2 linked regions of the Struthio camelus genome follow. The protein of the gene in region 2 purifies or fractionates together with the protein of the main gene of each other region. This does not show direct contact. Links are inferred from orthologs where the notes say so. Each region holds a gene or a part of one and is shown on either strand. Other genes may lie near its edges.

Region 1 (7,847 bases), on a different chromosome or scaffold from region 2:
CTACAGGGACCTGCCGGGGTCTCTCTCTGCACCCATGTCAGCAGCACATCAGCTCCAGGCCATGCATGCACAGTCAGCTGAACTGCAGCGCTTGGCTCTGGAACAGCAGCAGTGGCTTCATGCCCACCACCCTCTGCATGGAGTGCCGCTCCCTACGCAGGAGGATTACTACAGGTGCATGGGACCTGCTCTCTCCATGACACTGGGCGAGCAGAATGCTTTCACTTCACAGTACAAATCTGGACCTGGTCATGGCCTGAGGATGGCAGAAGTGGGATCAGGGAAGCATTTCTCCTTAAGTGGTTGGCTCCAGCCTGACCCCCACATCTGAGAGCATGGATTCCTTGCCACTGGGGCACAGCTGTGGGTTGGCCATGACGAAGGTCATTCTTGGCAAGTGGCTCTTCAGTGGCCTGTAGGCTAATCTCTTGTATGGGGTCTCAGTTCCTTTCGTTGGGGAGTAAACTTACCTGTTTCGCACATGCTAATACAGTTCTTGCTAACTGATACCCTTGCAAAAACAACAGATGTTCACAAGAGTTGGATGGATGGTCTGTCCTAAAAAGGGTTCTTGCAAGTGCACAGGGAAGCGTACTGGGACAGGGAGAGGTGCAATATTGTACCTTTTGGATAGCATCTCCTACCTCAAGGATTTGGAAAACTTTCCAAGCCAGCACTGTCATGTGGGACTAGACTAACCAAATGCAGTGCACAGTACTAAGGTAGTTCTCCTTCTCTCTTTTTTCTCTCACAATCACCTTGTTCTTCTTTCTCCTAGTCACCTGAAGAAAGAAAGTGACAAACCCCTTTAAATGGACTCCTACTCTCAACGCGACATCATCATGTCTTTCTCTTAAGAGGAGCAGTTGATCAACCAAATCCTGGGGGAGGGGAACCTACACATCCTGATCCTACAGTGCAGTACAGTGCAAGAGCAGAATGGATCAAGAGTACAGGATGGCATCGTGGGAGCAGAAAGGAGAGGAGAGAAAATGGGGAGGGACTGAAACACCACTAATGGACATGGAATGATTGGTACATGATTCCAGCAAGGCTCTGAAGGAAACAAAATTAGCAATGCAGAGAGCTCAAAAAGACAAAGACTGATGGAAATTCAAGATTGGAGCTGCTCCATCCTTTCTTTTGGGGGAACAGTTGCATTAAATAAAAACAGTGCAGAGCATCACAGGAGTTCATGTACATGATGCTGTTGCCCTTTCTGCTTCTGTGAGGAGATGTGGCCAAGAAGTAACTCAAAAACCTGATGGAGCTTCTTTTAAAGATGCCTCCTCACCCCCCCCCCCCCCAACTTTAGATGTAAGATACAGCTAAGTAACACAAAAAAGCAACATGGAACTTTTTCAAATTAGCCAGGGTGGCTTCCCATTCTCCAAAATCCTGTCAGATACAAAGCAAGCATTATGGGACCCCTTCAGAAATGGCCACTCCTACCTAACCGCTCAGTCACTGAGGGTCTGGGTCTAGCTGTGAGGTGCAAAGCACCACGAGACTTTGCGAGACCTGAGACTGTTTGCGAGACCCAGTGGCTGTGCTTTCCTACGCCTCGAGGGAATGGTTAGGGCCATGAGGTGCAAAGCACCGGGAGACTGTTTTAAAGACTGCAATTAAAGACTGCAATCGCCTCTATCCCTTTGAGCCCCATTGGGAGAGCTGACATGGCCAAGAGCCCCTGCATCGCCCCATTGGGAGAGCTGACATGGCCAAGAGCCCCTGCATCCTGGTACTCTCTTCGCGAAGGTGGCTGCCCCTTTCCCCTCACCCATTCTAATTGATGTACTTTTAACTCATGCACATCCTATTAGACGTGGCAGTTTTATGTAGCAATTTGTGACTCCCTTATCCCGCGTGCGTGTCTGATTTCACAGTTGTATATCTCGATTGGTCCCCATATATATATTTACTTAAACATTAAAAAAAGGAAAAAAAAAAGAAAAAACAACCAACAACCCAACTATGGAAAAACACCCGAACAAAGTTTCCCACGCACTCCCAAGCCTCAACACACATTCTAATAATTTATATATATAAATATATATATGAAGCTCTTAAAAAAGAAAAACAAAACAAAAAAAAAAACCCTTCCAGAAACAGTCTGTTGTGTTCGTTTCTTTTCTACTGGGGCTAGGAAGCGATCTGGAAGTGCAGTGAAACAGCACACCTGCAGGGGAGTTCAGAAATGAAGTTCTCCCTGGGCAGAGGAGTAAAGATGGGGGATACCGAAACAGGCCGAGGAGTGGCTGCGATGCAAGTCGCTGCAGGGCCCGGAGGGTGGCGAGAGCCGGGGGCACGGCCGGGACGAGAGAGGCCAAGTGTCGCTACAGGAAATGCCAAAGCAGGGCCCGTGCGGGCGCCGCACGAGGGAAGCCCTCCTCGGCGGCGGAGCTGGGGGATCGGCCCGGCCCGGCCCGGCCCGGCCCGGCTCGGCCAACCAGCGCAGAGCGGCCCCGGCCCGGCCGCAGCGCAACACCCCCGGCCCGGCGGTGGTCACGGAGGCCCCGCCCCACCGCCGAGGGGCGGGGCGAGCGCGCCTCGGCACCAATAGGAAACAGCTTATTTACATACTACCCCAAATACGTCCCAAACCTCTCTTTTTGGCTATTATAGTCATCGGCAGCGTGGGTCAGGGAGACAGACCTGTTCGGAAGGGCGCAGAGGCGCTAAAGACGGAGGCTGAGCGAAAGATGTGGCTCGCCCTCACCCCAAAGACAGTGCAGCTCGCGTGGGCCCCCGCGCGGGGGCAGGCGCTGTAGTGATTTCAGCTCTTTTAGTATTTGTCCAGTAGGTTTTCCGCGGCGCGGGAAGCCTCGCTGTCTCGTGTAAGGGCAGAGCGGCTGCCGCGCGTGCGCGGGGAGCGCCCGCCTGGTGGCTGCGGGGGTGGGTTGGCTCCGTAGCGTGGCCGTGCGGGGGGGCGCGCAGCCGTGAGTGCGCGGCCCGCGGCGCCCCATGGCGGCGTCGGCGCAGGCCCCGGCCGCGGCGCTGAGCGCCGAGCAGGCCAAAGGTGAGTGGCGGGGGGCGGCGTGGCCGGGAGCGGGGCCCGCCGGGCGGGCGGGAGGCGGCGGCGGCGGCGGCGGGCTGGCAGCGGTGCGTGTGCCCGCAGTGGTGCTGGCGGAGGTGATCAAGGCCTTCGGCTCGCCGGAGAACGCGCAGCGCATGGACGAGGCGCGGGACAACGCCTGCAACGATATGGGCAAGATGCTGCAGTTCCTGCTGCCCGTGGCCACCCAGATCCAGCAGGACGTGATCAAAGCCTACGGCTTCAGCAACGACGGGGAAGGTGGGTGCCCGCCGGCGGGGCGGGGCGGGGCGGCGCGGCTCTCGTGTCCGCGCCGCGGCTCCCCCGACCGCCGCGGCGGGGCGCCGCTGCCGCAGCCCGCGGCTCAGCCGCTCTCCCCGCCTGCCCGTTTCCTTTGCAGGCGTGCTGAAGTTTGCCCGGCTGATCAAATCCTACGAATCTCAGGACCCGGAGATAGCCAGCATGTCGGGGAAGCTCAAAGCCATGTTCCTGCCGCCCATGACGCTGCCCCCGCACGGGGCTGGCCCCGGGGGAGTGGCGACCTCGTGAGAGCGGAGGCCCTGTGCCGTCCCGGCCCTCGGCGCTGGCAGGGCACGGCTGGACAGCGGAGACGCTGCTCTGGGAGGAACCAGGCTGCTTTGTGCGCCTTTGTATGTCTGCTGGTGAATAAAAGCTATCTGGAAAACAAACCTCGTGATTTCTGAACGGACCTGGGCCTAGCACTGCTCTGCCGGGGCGGGTCCTTTTCTCTGCTGCAGAGGCGGTTAGAGCAGTGTCCACCTCATGACTGGTAAAGCCTGTGCTAATGATTTGAGAGGGGGAGGGCTCGTATGTATCAAACTCGGAAAAAAGATGCTTGCTCATGCAAGCCTTGGCCTGAAACCACACCACCTAGTATTAAAGCAATACTTTTTTTTTTTTAAACAAGATTTCAGAGGTGCTAAGCCTTATCTAAGAACAAGCGTTTACAAATGAGATATTTGACATGTTTTAGGTAGTGGGTTCATAAACATAAGCTAGTCCCTAAGGTGTTCTTCAGCAAGTGGCCTAAATGCAGCTCAGACCCCTGTCACCAGGCCAGTCAGCCATGCTAGTTTGTTCCTCCCTGTACACTGCTAACACCAGCTTATATAGCTGCACAGTTGTCTTCTAGCTGAATGTGTGATCAGACATATTAGACCTAATGTAAAAGGCTGCAGAAAGGTGAAGCAGGGACGAGCATGGCGAAGGAGAGCTAGCCTTGCCCCTTTTGGCTGCAGCCAGGGTTAGAGCAACATAAACATAATCTAGAACTGCATCATGTGCCTGCCAAGACCAGAGAGAGAAACCAACCCAGGGGAGCAGTTCCTCTCAAGTTTGAATCTTTGTATTTGTGACTTGATTCAAGTGAAGGGGCATCAGGTACATTTGACTGTTGGTGGCCTTGCAGCTTGTATGGGTCTCTTGCCCTTAGATGTGTTGACACATTTGGGAAGGGTCAGGGTGGGTTGGGGTGGAAGGGCTGGGAGAAGAGGGAGCTGAGGGTCAGGTGCTGGAGAGCTGTGTGTAGTTTTGTTTTCTGCGTCTTTCAGCTACAAAGGGCTGAGGAATGTAGCCAGCAAGGGCGTGAACTTAGTGGATAGGAGGCAGGAAGAACAGTCAGTCCCTTCCGTCTCCATCCACCTCTCCCAGCTTGGGCTTGGCCTCCCCCCCCCCCCCCTTCTAATTATTTATTAACTACAGCCCAGGAAGTGTTTTGTGAATGGTGAAAATCAAACCCTTTGCTTGAGGCCTGCTGTTTGCCTGACCTGGAGCTACCTTCTCCTCTGTCCACACCAGAAACAGGCCGAGTTCAGAACTCTTCCCGTGCGGATCAGATACAGGTGAGTCATAGGGCTTGCAGCAGACCCAAAGCACTATCGGCTGCTCCTTCCGGAGCTGTGGAACGAACCATGGTGAGCATCCAGCCATGTCTCTAGGGTGGTCTAGGTCTTGACTTGCTCTGTCAAGTTGTTTGATCTCTCTCCCAAGTCCATTTCAGATACTACTGTGTTGATACTTCCAATACTTTTTTTTTTTTTTTTTTAGTAGGACCCCCTGGTTAAGGGCTGTGGTACTCCCTCCACCTGCTGCTTGCTGTTAGTCCCCTATCTGTGGGGATCTGCCGGTCAAGATCCCAATGCCATCCTGTGGGTGAGTGTTGTGTATGCTAGCTAGGGGTAGAAAACAGTGTTGTTGGTGAGAAAAAAATAATGGAAGTAAGAATCAGGTGTAGAGGGGAAAAAGAACACCTTATACTAGGAACTACTGGAGAGCTGGAGGACTAGGTTCACAGTGAGTTAGACTGCTGTCGCTGCTGCTCCTCCTCACTTGTATAAAGAGAGAGAAGAGTTTGTGATGACCAGTCCAATACAACTACTTTTCTGCCTTCTGCAGGCCCTGCAGCTGCAGCATTTCAAAACATTTTTGTACAGAGAGAGATCAGGTGGCAGACCTTTTTAAAGCCTGATTATTTATTGATTTGTTACTGTCTTTAGAGTCTAATTGACAAGACACATGCTCTTCACCGTCAATCCAAATGGGTGCTCTGTTGTTGGGACGTCAGCAACATGGTATAAAGAAATGGGATTAGCACCAGGGTTAATCTATGGTTAGGTTCTGCTTGGGCAGCCACTGTGGTCCAGCACTGTCCTGTGGTCCTGTAGCCTGCCAGAGAGCATCTGGCTTGGGCAAGTCCCAGGAAGATGGTCCATCTGCCCATTCCCCCAGAGCAGATGGCCTTTATCTGGCAGCTCTAACAGTGCAAGAATGCTGCAGCTGAACTACTATGTAGCTCTGTGTAAAACTGCAACTTCCTGCCTATGCTTTACCTTGGTGCTGAGAGTTACCGGGTGGCAAATGCAGTGCTGATTTTTAAAAAGGGTTCAAATGAGAACCACAGACCAATAAAATTGATATCTAGAATGAGCAAGAGATTAGACACTATAATAGAAAAAGGAATGAATATGACATTAAAGAAAGAGTCCCTATCTACTTTGGTAAAGGCAAATCTCGTCTTGAAAAAACACTGGAGTTCTCTGAGGGACTTAGCAAGCTTGTGGATAAGGGAGATCTGGCTGATACAGTTTGCTTGGATTTGACAAGTTTCCCCTCATCAAAGACTTTTAAAGAGAACTAAAGACTTTTTAAAGAGAACTAAAGCCATGGCATAAGAGAGAGGAAGATTTTTTTCTTGAGTAAAGAATTAGTAGAAAATAAGAAATGGAAGATGGGCATAAATATCCAGTTTTCACAGCAAAGGGTAGTCACCAGTGGTCAGATCACTAGGGTCTGAGCTGGGATATGTGCTGTTCAGTATATTCCTAAATGACCTGGAAAAAGAGGGTAAACAGTGAGATGAGAAAATTGGCTGATGGCAGAAAGATATTTAGGATAATAGAGTGGGAGTCAACTGTGAAAAACTGCAGAACGAACTTATGATAGAGAATGGGTGGGTAATAGAACAGCAGATGAAATTCAAAATGGGTATATGTAAAGCAATGTTCATGGAGGAAAATAATTCAAACTTCACCTATAAAAAAAGAACTCTGAAATGATCATAACCTCTCTGGAGTAAGACTGTGATCTCATAATACATAAGTGCATGCAAATGTTAGCTCAATGCTCAGGTGCAGTGAACAAATAAGCAGAAATCATAGTTATGTCTTTGTATATGTCCATGTCTCACCAACATCTTGAATGCTATGTGCAGTTCTGGGGTCCCACTTCATCCTCATCTCCAAAATGATATAGCAGAGTTGGAAAAGGCTCAGAGAAGGACAGTAAAGATGATTAGAGATGTAGAATAGCTCTGTACACAGAACATCTAAATAGGGTTGGAGTCTTCAGCCTGGAAAAGAGCTAAGGAAGGAATCAGAAGTTACAGGTCTCTAAATTCATGAGTGGCTTGGAGGGAGTGAGTAGGAACCAGAGGAATCAGTCATTGATTTTTTCTTTCATTACAACAGTCGGTTGTTAATAAAAATGGGCAGGGAACAGGTCATAAGCAAACCAAAGGAGGTGGTGGTTCTGTAGTTCAGCAGTGGAACTGCTTGTCAAAGGATGCTAAATATCTTGTGGATTCAAAGATTGACTCTACAAGTTAGTGAGGGCATTGTCCAAGTGAGCCCTGAACATCTCCAAGACTGGAGATTGCCCAGCCTCTCTGGGCACCTGTGCCGTTGCTGAACCACTCTTGGGCAGGAGTGTGTGTGTGGAATTGTTCCTATATCTATTCAGAATTTCTCTTGATGCAAGTTATGCCTGTTGCCTCTTGTCCTTTTGCTGTGTCCCTCTGAGAAGGATCTGGCTCCATCATTGCTAACCTCTCCTTCCCTGCCCCTTTAGGTAGTGTCAGACTATTAAATCCCTCCTCAATCCCTCCTCAGCCTTCTCCAGGCTGAACAAAACCAGCTCCCTCTGCCTATCTTCATGTGTCTCATCACTGGACTTTCTGCAGTTTGTCAATGTCCTTTTTCTTTTTTTTCTCCCCAGTAGTCCATATGTGAGCATCTTTTAATTGGCTCCTTCATTTATCCTCCTTTCTAAATTGATTCCTGTGCCCGTTGTGGCCTAGCTCCACAAAGGATTTAGAAGATAAGGTTCTACAGTTTGTGTTGTACTGAAGGCCAGACTACACCATAAGAATAATCTCTTTGATGCTGAAATCTCTTGACCTGTTAATTACATGAAGAAAGTATTTCAGTGGCTCAATTAGTTTGTTGTTGTATGCGCCAACTTTTACAGAGAACAGCTTCAAAGATACCAAGCAATTGCTTCTCTAAATTTAACCCAC
Region 2 (7,460 bases):
GGTGACCCCCCGGCTACCCTCTAACCCATGCGACGACCCTGAGCACCACCAGCCCCACGGCCACCCCAGGGGTATCCTCTAACCCCCGGCTCCCCCTACACCACAGGGGACACCCCAGCACCACCCAACACCCATGGAGGAACCCCCGAGCACTCCCAGCCCCACACGGGCGCCCCCCAGGGACCCCCCTCCGCATGCAGGGTGCCCCAGCAGGCCCTCACCCAGCTCCACCAGCTCCACGGGGTCACTGATCTCCAAGGTCCTGGACGGTTCCAGGGTCTCGTACAGGCACCAATATCTCCCGGCATAGCCCCGTGCCGACACCTTCATGGAGAACTCAGCCGTATCCTCCACCTTCTCCCGGTACCATTGGTAGGTCCCATCTCCCTCCTTGTAGATCAGGACCCTGGCAGCCGGCTGGGGCACGTGGCACCGCAGAGTGACGTTGTCCCCCAGGGCCGCCCCCTCGCTGGGGTGCAGCGACAGGGAGGGTCGGAGGTCTGGGGCAGGGTGACAGCGGTGAGCTGGGGCCCGTCCCCATCCCCGTGTTTTTAAGGACGTCTTTGAACCCCTTCATCCCCTAACCCTCTTCCCCTTCCCGGTCCCCACAGCCATCTCCCGGCGTCCCCTGTCCCCACCCTGCGACTCGCAGCCCTGCGGCCCCCGACCCTGCGTCCCCGCTGCAGCCCCCGGCCCAGCGCTCCCAGCCGTGTCCCTGCATCCCACCGGCTTGTCCCCATCCCCGGGTCCCTGTCCTGGCGGCCCCAATGTCCCCCACCCAACTCTGCCCCTGTCCCAACACTCGTACTCACATCCCCCTGCCCTCCACCCTCCCCGTCCACCCCCCCCCCCGCCAAGACCATACTCCTGGTCTGCTGTCCCCAGCCCGATGATGTCCCCAGCCTGGTACTCACCTCCCTGCACCCCACTTGGCGCCGCCAGCCACCAGCCTGCAAGGGACATGGGGCTCGTTGGTGGCTGCTGCCGGGGGCCACCAAACCCCTGGGGCTGGTGGTGGTCCCCACCATCCCCTCGAAGGGCAGGGCATCCTTGTCACCCCCACAAAAGGAAGGGTGTCCCTGTCCCCACCATTCCCCCACCCCATCACTCACCGAGGCCCAGCAGGAGGAGGACCACCACCATCGGGGCCGTGGGGCAGGAGGAGCCAGGTCCTTACGTGGCGTTGGGGGTAGCGGCACTGGGGGGGGGGGACTGGGTCCCACCACGGTTGGGCCTGGGTGTCCCCCCAAGCCAGATGGGAGGTGAAAGAGCAGGAAGGGAAGTGGCCACAGAGATGGTTTCGGTTCCCCTTGAGGCCAGGATGACGTGACATCACTCCAGGGAGGCACTGGCAGTCCCCGATGGGCTGGCACGCCAGAGGGTGGTGGCCCACCTCCCCCAAGGGGCGTCCAACACGGAGCGGCAGACGCCGTCGCCGAAGGGCTGGCACACGCGCGGGGAGCCGCACGCCGTCCCCAAGGGCGGCTTCACGCCTGCGGCGACACGCGCGGCACCTGACGGGGGTGACACACGCGTAGGGCGCTCCACGCAGGTCCCAACAGGGGGTCATGGTTGAGGGGGGACATCACAAGCGCTCCCCCATGGGGTCACACTAGGGGGCCACCACACATGGTCCCCAACAGTGGGTCACCAGCAGGCTCCAAAGAGTGTCACAGACAGACAGCAGCCCCATGGGGACACCGTAGGGACAACCCCCATCCCATGGGGACCTCCTGGCTGCAGAACACCCCAGAAAAAGCCCTGCCCCACACGGACCCCAGGGACAGCCCGTTCTCTGTGGGGAACACCTAGACCCATAGGGACCCACTGCAGCTCCCAAGAGGGCTCCAAGCACCCGCTGCCCCATCGGGACCCCCCCCAACCCCTGGCACCCCCGTAACCCACACGGGCTCAGCCAGGTCCTCACCCAACTCCACGGGGTCGATCACTCGTCTCCGAGGTCCGAGACGTTTCCAAGATCTCGTACCGGCATCTCTCCGCGCCGGCGCCTTCCGCGAGAACTCGACCGTATCCCTCCACCTCGTCCCGGTCCCAGCGGCCGGGGCACGCGGTACCGCAGGGCGACGGTGTCCCCCCCCCAGGGCCACCGCCTCGCTGGGGTGCAGCGACGGGGAGGGTCGGAGGTCTGGGGCGGGGAGACGGCGGCGAGCTGGGGCTCGGCCCCGCGTTATCGCTGCACCCCTTGTCCTGGCCCCGCGCTCGTGGCACCACCGCACCCTCAGCCCGTTCCCCCCCCCCGACTGGCTCTGCGTCCCCCGTCCCCACCTTTGTATTTACGTCCCTGCGTCCCTTGTCCCATCCCTGCCTCTGTCCCCAAGTTTCTACGTCCCTACGTTCCCCATCCCCACGCTCGCGTCCCTCCGTCCCCCTAAGTCGTCCCCCCGCCCATACGTCCCCACATCCCCGTCCTCGCTTCCCGCTGTCCCCGTCCCTGTCCCGGTCCCTGTCCCCATACTTGTACCCGTGTCTCAGACTCATCTGTGTTCCTGCACCCTCCCCGACCCCCCCTTCCCCGTGACCCTACTCCCGTCCCGGTGTCCCCAGCCCTGTCCCCAGCCCCGTACTCACCTCCCTGCACCCCGCTCAGCGCCACCAGCCCGCCAGGGACTCGAGGCTCATTGAGGGCTGCTGCCACCAGGTCCTGTCCCTCCGTGGGCCACCAAACCCCTGGGGCAGGGCGTCCCCAGCATCCCCCCTGTCACTCCCCGAGGCCACTCACTGGTCACCTCCACTGGTCCCCTGGCACGGGGTTGGGGGCAGCAGCACTGGGAGGGACTGGGAGAGCCTGGACCCCGCGGCGGCTGTGCCCGGGTGCCCCCCGCCCCCGGCGGGAGAGGCGAGGGTGGAAGAAGTGGTCCCTCCACCTGGTTATTTTCTCTTTCGGGTCAGGATGTGATGTCACCCTGGGGTGGCGCTTGCGGTCCCTGACCTGGTGGCATGCACAAGGCGGGTGGTGGAGCATCACCCAACGGGGTGGCACCCAGGGGGTGTCGGGCCTGGCTCCCGGCTCTCAGCGTTTCTTGCCCTCTGCAAATCCGCCAAGTCCCGCGGCGGGAACCGGCCCCAACCCAAACCGCTGCAACGCGGCCACGCTGGGAAGGAGCAGAGCTCCCAGGACAGTTGCAGCAGCGAGTTTCGTCGTTCTCCCAGCTTCACTCCCCGACGAATTCTTTTTTAGGGTTTTTTTTGTTGTTTTTTTTTGTTGTTGTTGTTTTTGGTTGTTTGGTTGGGTTTTTTTGTTCAAACACGAAAAACTAAACAGGCAAAAACGTCGCTTCGACGGAAAGCCGGGCACCGCTGAAGCACCGCGGCAGAACCGGCTCGCACTTCCCGCGGTAACGAGCTGCAAAAAGAGCGGAGAAAAAAAAAAAAAAAATCATTTCCCCCCGAGAAAGCAGGGGGAAAAAAATAAAAGGAAACCGCAAGGTCCCACCGAGATTTGAACTCGGATCGCTGGATTCAGAGTCCAGAGTGCTAACCATTACACCATGGGACCGGGCCGCGCTGGCAGCCCCAGCCGGGCCCCACACGGCTCGGCGGCGGCACCGATTGGGGGGGGAAAAAAAACCCTCCCCGGGGGCTGCGGAGCCCGGGGGTGAAGCAGCCGGGGCCGGACGGGGACAGGGAAGGGCTGAAGGAACCCAGTGCCCGCGCTGAAGAAATAAAAAGCGGAAGCGCCCGAACAGGGACTTGAACCCTGGACCCTCAGATTAAAAGTCTGATGCTCTGCCGACTGAGCTATCCGGGCTCCTGCCGGCCGCCGCCCGCTGCCGCCCTATGGGCGCGAGCTAAGGCCGCTACGGGGCTGCTGAGGACGGGGAGGGTGTTTAGCAGCGAGGCGAGGAGTTTGGGGAAGGGGGGCGGCGCTGCGGGGCTTTGGGGCAGGTTATGCTCGACCGGAGGAGGAGGAGGAAGGCGCGCAGGTGCCCTATAAGGCTCTGAGCCAAACTCGAGCGATAAAACGCCGTGTTTTTACCACGTTGCAGCACAACCCCGGGGAAAACAAACGGTTATGAAGCAAATCAAAACCCAAGCCCGGGCACACGCTACATGTTCCCCCAGCCCTAACTGCGGGGCGGCGGTGGGCGGAGCTCCCTTATATAGGAGCGGGGCGGACCTGAGGGAGAACCGCCCCCCCCCCCCCGGCTCCCGCCTTGGCGGCCTGGCCGCTCTCGCCTCCGGACCAATGGGAACGCCTCCAGCTCGGCGGGCGGCCAATCAGCGTGCAGCGCCGCCGTTCCGAGGCGAGGCAGCCTTGCGGGCCGGGGGCTGAGCTGCCGCTTGGTGCGGCGGGGCGGGTACAGCTGTGCGCCACAAGGGTTTAAAACCAAAAGAAAAGAGAAGAGAGAAAAAAAAGAGAAGAGAAAAAAAAAAAGAAAAGAGAAAAAAAAGAAAAGAGAAAAAAAAGAAAAGAGAAAAAAAAGAAAAGAGAAAAAAAAGAAAAGAGAAAAAAAAGAAAAGAGAAAAAAAAGAAAAGAGAAAAAAAAGAAAAGAGAAAAAAAAGAAAAGAGAAAAAAAAGAAAAGAGAAAAAAAGAAAAGAGAAAAAAAGAAAAGAGAAAAAAAGAAAAGAAAAAAAAAGAAAAAGAGAAAAAAAAATAAATTAAACACTTAAAACTCTCCTCAAGCGGGAAGGTAAGCCGGTAGCTGGCGCTTAATCTCACAGCGAGCTCGTGCACGAGGCTTTTAATCTCAAACGGCGAAAGCTCGCCGTATAAGCTGCATTTCCCTGCCCGAAGCCGGCGGGGGGAGCTGGCGGGCGCCGCTGTCTGCACCGCCGCGCCGCGCCGCGCCGCCCTCCCTTTATAACCTCCGGCGCGGGCAGCTCGGCTACGCGCCGAGCATCGCAAGCGAGACGGCTCCAATCCGCGCGCCGCTATTGGGCAGGAGGAAAGACAGCCGGGCTGAGGGCGCCGTTCTATTGGTTCGGCGGCCGAGCGGGGCGGCGGCCAATCAGAACGCGCGGTTTCAATCCCCCGCGGGCTATAAAAGGGCGAGCCGCGGCGGCGGTCGGCGGTAGTGGCGGCATCATGTCCGGCCGCGGGAAGCAGGGCGGCAAAGCGCGCGCCAAGGCCAAGTCGCGCTCGTCGCGGGCCGGGCTGCAGTTCCCCGTGGGCCGCGTGCACCGGCTGCTGCGCAAGGGCAACTACGCGGAGCGGGTGGGCGCCGGCGCCCCCGTCTACTTGGCCGCCGTCATGGAGTACCTGACGGCCGAGATCCTGGAGCTGGCGGGCAACGCGGCCCGCGACAACAAGAAGACGCGCATCATCCCGCGCCACCTCCAGCTGGCCGTCCGCAACGACGAGGAGCTCAACAAGCTGCTCGGGGGCGTCACCATCGCGCAGGGCGGCGTCCTGCCCAACATCCAGGCTGTGCTGCTGCCCAAGAAGACCGAGAGCCACAAAGCCAAGGGCAAGTAACATTTCTGCGAAGACCGGCCAGTTTAATCAGCGGGCCCTAAGCTTTTCTTTTTGCTTTTGAATCCAAAGGCTCTTTTAAGAGCCACCCACTGTTTCAGAAAAAGAGCTGGAAGCGGTTTGGGGCTTGCAGAGCAAGGTGCTTGGTGCTAGGCTCGCAGCAGCGTTCCAACCTGGAAACGCGTTTTGACTTAAATCCTTACAAATTATGGTTGCAATGGTTTATGCAGAAGTCTGGAGACTTGCCAGCCCCTGTGCCTCCTGCTTTGCTGCGCTGCACACAACTGTTCGGTCTAACGCAGCTGAGAACCTCCCTTCACCGGTGAGATCCCCAAAAACGGGGGTCCCTGAAGGTGGAGGAGGCACCGGTGAGTCCGTTCGCAAAGTGTTTCCCCATTCCTCAGTCCCAGGACACGCAAATCAGCAAAGGGAAACTGCGCCGATCCTTGCGTTCCCCAAAACCACACTGGTACCTTAGTTCCAGTCCCGCTTTTCCCTAAACAGCGGATGGCTGGCCAAAAAAAACATCTCCAAAACCACAGTAGAGCCCAGAAATAACATTTCTGTTTCCCCATGAGCGGCATTTAACGCCACGACGTTCGGCAGTTGCTGGTTGTGGTTAACGCTCATGCTGCGGGAAAAGCACCAATAAATCCCCCGGGATTTAAGGAAGTTTCAGGCTGGCCCAAGCTGCTAACATGGGCCAAAGCGTTGCCCTGGGACCTGAACTATCCCCTCGGAAGAGGGAATCCGAGCCCAAATCCTGCCAAGCTGCACCAAGGAAATACCCTGAAGGCAACAAGTCAGCACGTCAGGCGCTGGCAGGCTGCTCTCTGCCAAGCAAAACCTTTAAAAATAGTTGAATATTCCTCCAATGAGCACAGAAATCCCATTTCTTCCAAAAGGAATTGCCCACCTCTTGCTCCTTCCTCTCCGGGAGCCCCCCCTCGCACAAGGCAACGCCGAAACCTGTAGTGGGACGATCAGGACAAGCACCCTGGCCAGGAACAGCATCATCATCCCCAAAAAGCAGGTTATTAAGCACCCTTAAAAGGCAGGGAGAGCATTGCCTGGAAACGCACATCCTGCAGAAAAGGAAGTTATTTCTGTTTGCTAAATGCATCTTCCCGCAGGCAGCTCCCAAGAGCGGTTCGAGCAGGGCACTAAGTGCAGACACGAACAAGCACAACGTGCAAGATGCACAAAACGTGACACCTAAAAGAAGCTTCTACTCCCTTAGCACTAATAAAACTACTTTCTTGTGTTGCTGTAGTAGGTAAGGAATAATTTAAGACGAGTTATAAGTGCAAGATGCTGCTTACATGCAGCATGAAGCAGCATTTACAGGTTAGAGAGCAATCCCAGCTACTTCTACAAGAACATCCCTAGCAAGGAAGTCCCATCTTATAAGATAAAGTGGAAAACGGGCTCTTAAGGTTTACAGCTCTGCTAGGAGAGGGTGGGTGGCTCTGAAAAGAGCCGTGGGGCCGAGGGGAGCAGACCCTGCGTTCCAGGGAGCCGCTTTACTTGGAGCGGGTGTACTCGGCGCCGGCCTCGCTGCCCTCGCAGGCGGCGTGCTTGGCCCGCTCGCCGGGCAGCAGCGGGCGCGCGGGCGGCCGTCTGGATCCCCCGCGAGGTGACGGCGGAGCGCCGTTGTAGCGCGCCAGGCGCGAGGCCTCGCCGGCGACGCGCTCGAAGGCGGCGTTGGCGAAGGGGTTGGCGATGCCCGCGGCCTCGGGGGAGATGCCCGCGTCGGGGCGCGCCTGCTGCAGCACCTCGTACGCGTGGGTGGAGCAGCTCTCCTCGCGGCCGCGCCGCCGCTTCTCGTCGCCTTTCTTCTGCGTCTTGGTCACCGCTTTCTGGGGCCCGGCGCGGGCGCGGGCCTGGCCGGCTCGGGCATCCGCCGCTGCCGCTGCCGGTGCTGCCGCTGCCGGTGCCGGTGCTGCCGGTGCTGCCGCCGCCGCCGGGGAACAGAGCGCAGTGAGGAGGAGGCGGCGGCGGCGGCGGCTTTCTAGCGGCGCTAT

What was found.
Region 1: the proteins of leukocyte immunoglobulin-like receptor subfamily A member 3 (region 2) and PTPN6 purify together in Homo sapiens (affinity purification with western blotting; 3 studies listed by BioGRID and IntAct, with this or other methods). This does not show direct contact. The link is inferred for Struthio camelus from reciprocal best matches to the Homo sapiens genes LILRB2 and PTPN6.

What each region holds. Positions count from the first base shown.
Region 1 is NC_090942.1:90,534,594-90,542,440, reverse strand, and holds the start of PTPN6 (tyrosine-protein phosphatase non-receptor type 6), read left to right. Parts: upstream 1-4,756; 5' UTR 4,757-4,896; intron 4,897-5,101; exon of another isoform or gene 5,102-5,104; 5' UTR 5,105-5,192; coding exon 5,193-5,206; intron 5,207-7,847. Other genes in the region: ATN1 (atrophin-1), read left to right, coding at 1-174, 779-812; C1H12orf57 (protein C10), read left to right, coding at 2,965-3,019, 3,101-3,295, 3,435-3,583. UniProt on the Homo sapiens protein: Tyrosine phosphatase enzyme that plays important roles in controlling immune signaling pathways and fundamental physiological processes such as hematopoiesis.
Region 2 is NC_090975.1:213,552-221,011, reverse strand, and holds the start of leukocyte immunoglobulin-like receptor subfamily A member 3, read right to left. Parts: upstream 3,215-7,460; 5' UTR 2,741-3,214; exon of another isoform or gene 2,590-2,740; intron 2,147-2,589; exon of another isoform or gene 2,010-2,146; 5' UTR 1,928-2,009; intron 1,515-1,927; 5' UTR 1,334-1,514; coding exon 1,113-1,333; intron 951-1,112; coding exon 915-950; intron 501-914; coding exon of another isoform or gene 470-500; coding exon 222-469; intron 1-221. Other genes in the region: histone H2A type 2-C, read left to right, coding at 5,050-5,439. UniProt on the Homo sapiens protein: Receptor for class I MHC antigens. Recognizes a broad spectrum of HLA-A, HLA-B, HLA-C, HLA-G and HLA-F alleles. Involved in the down-regulation of the immune response and the development of tolerance.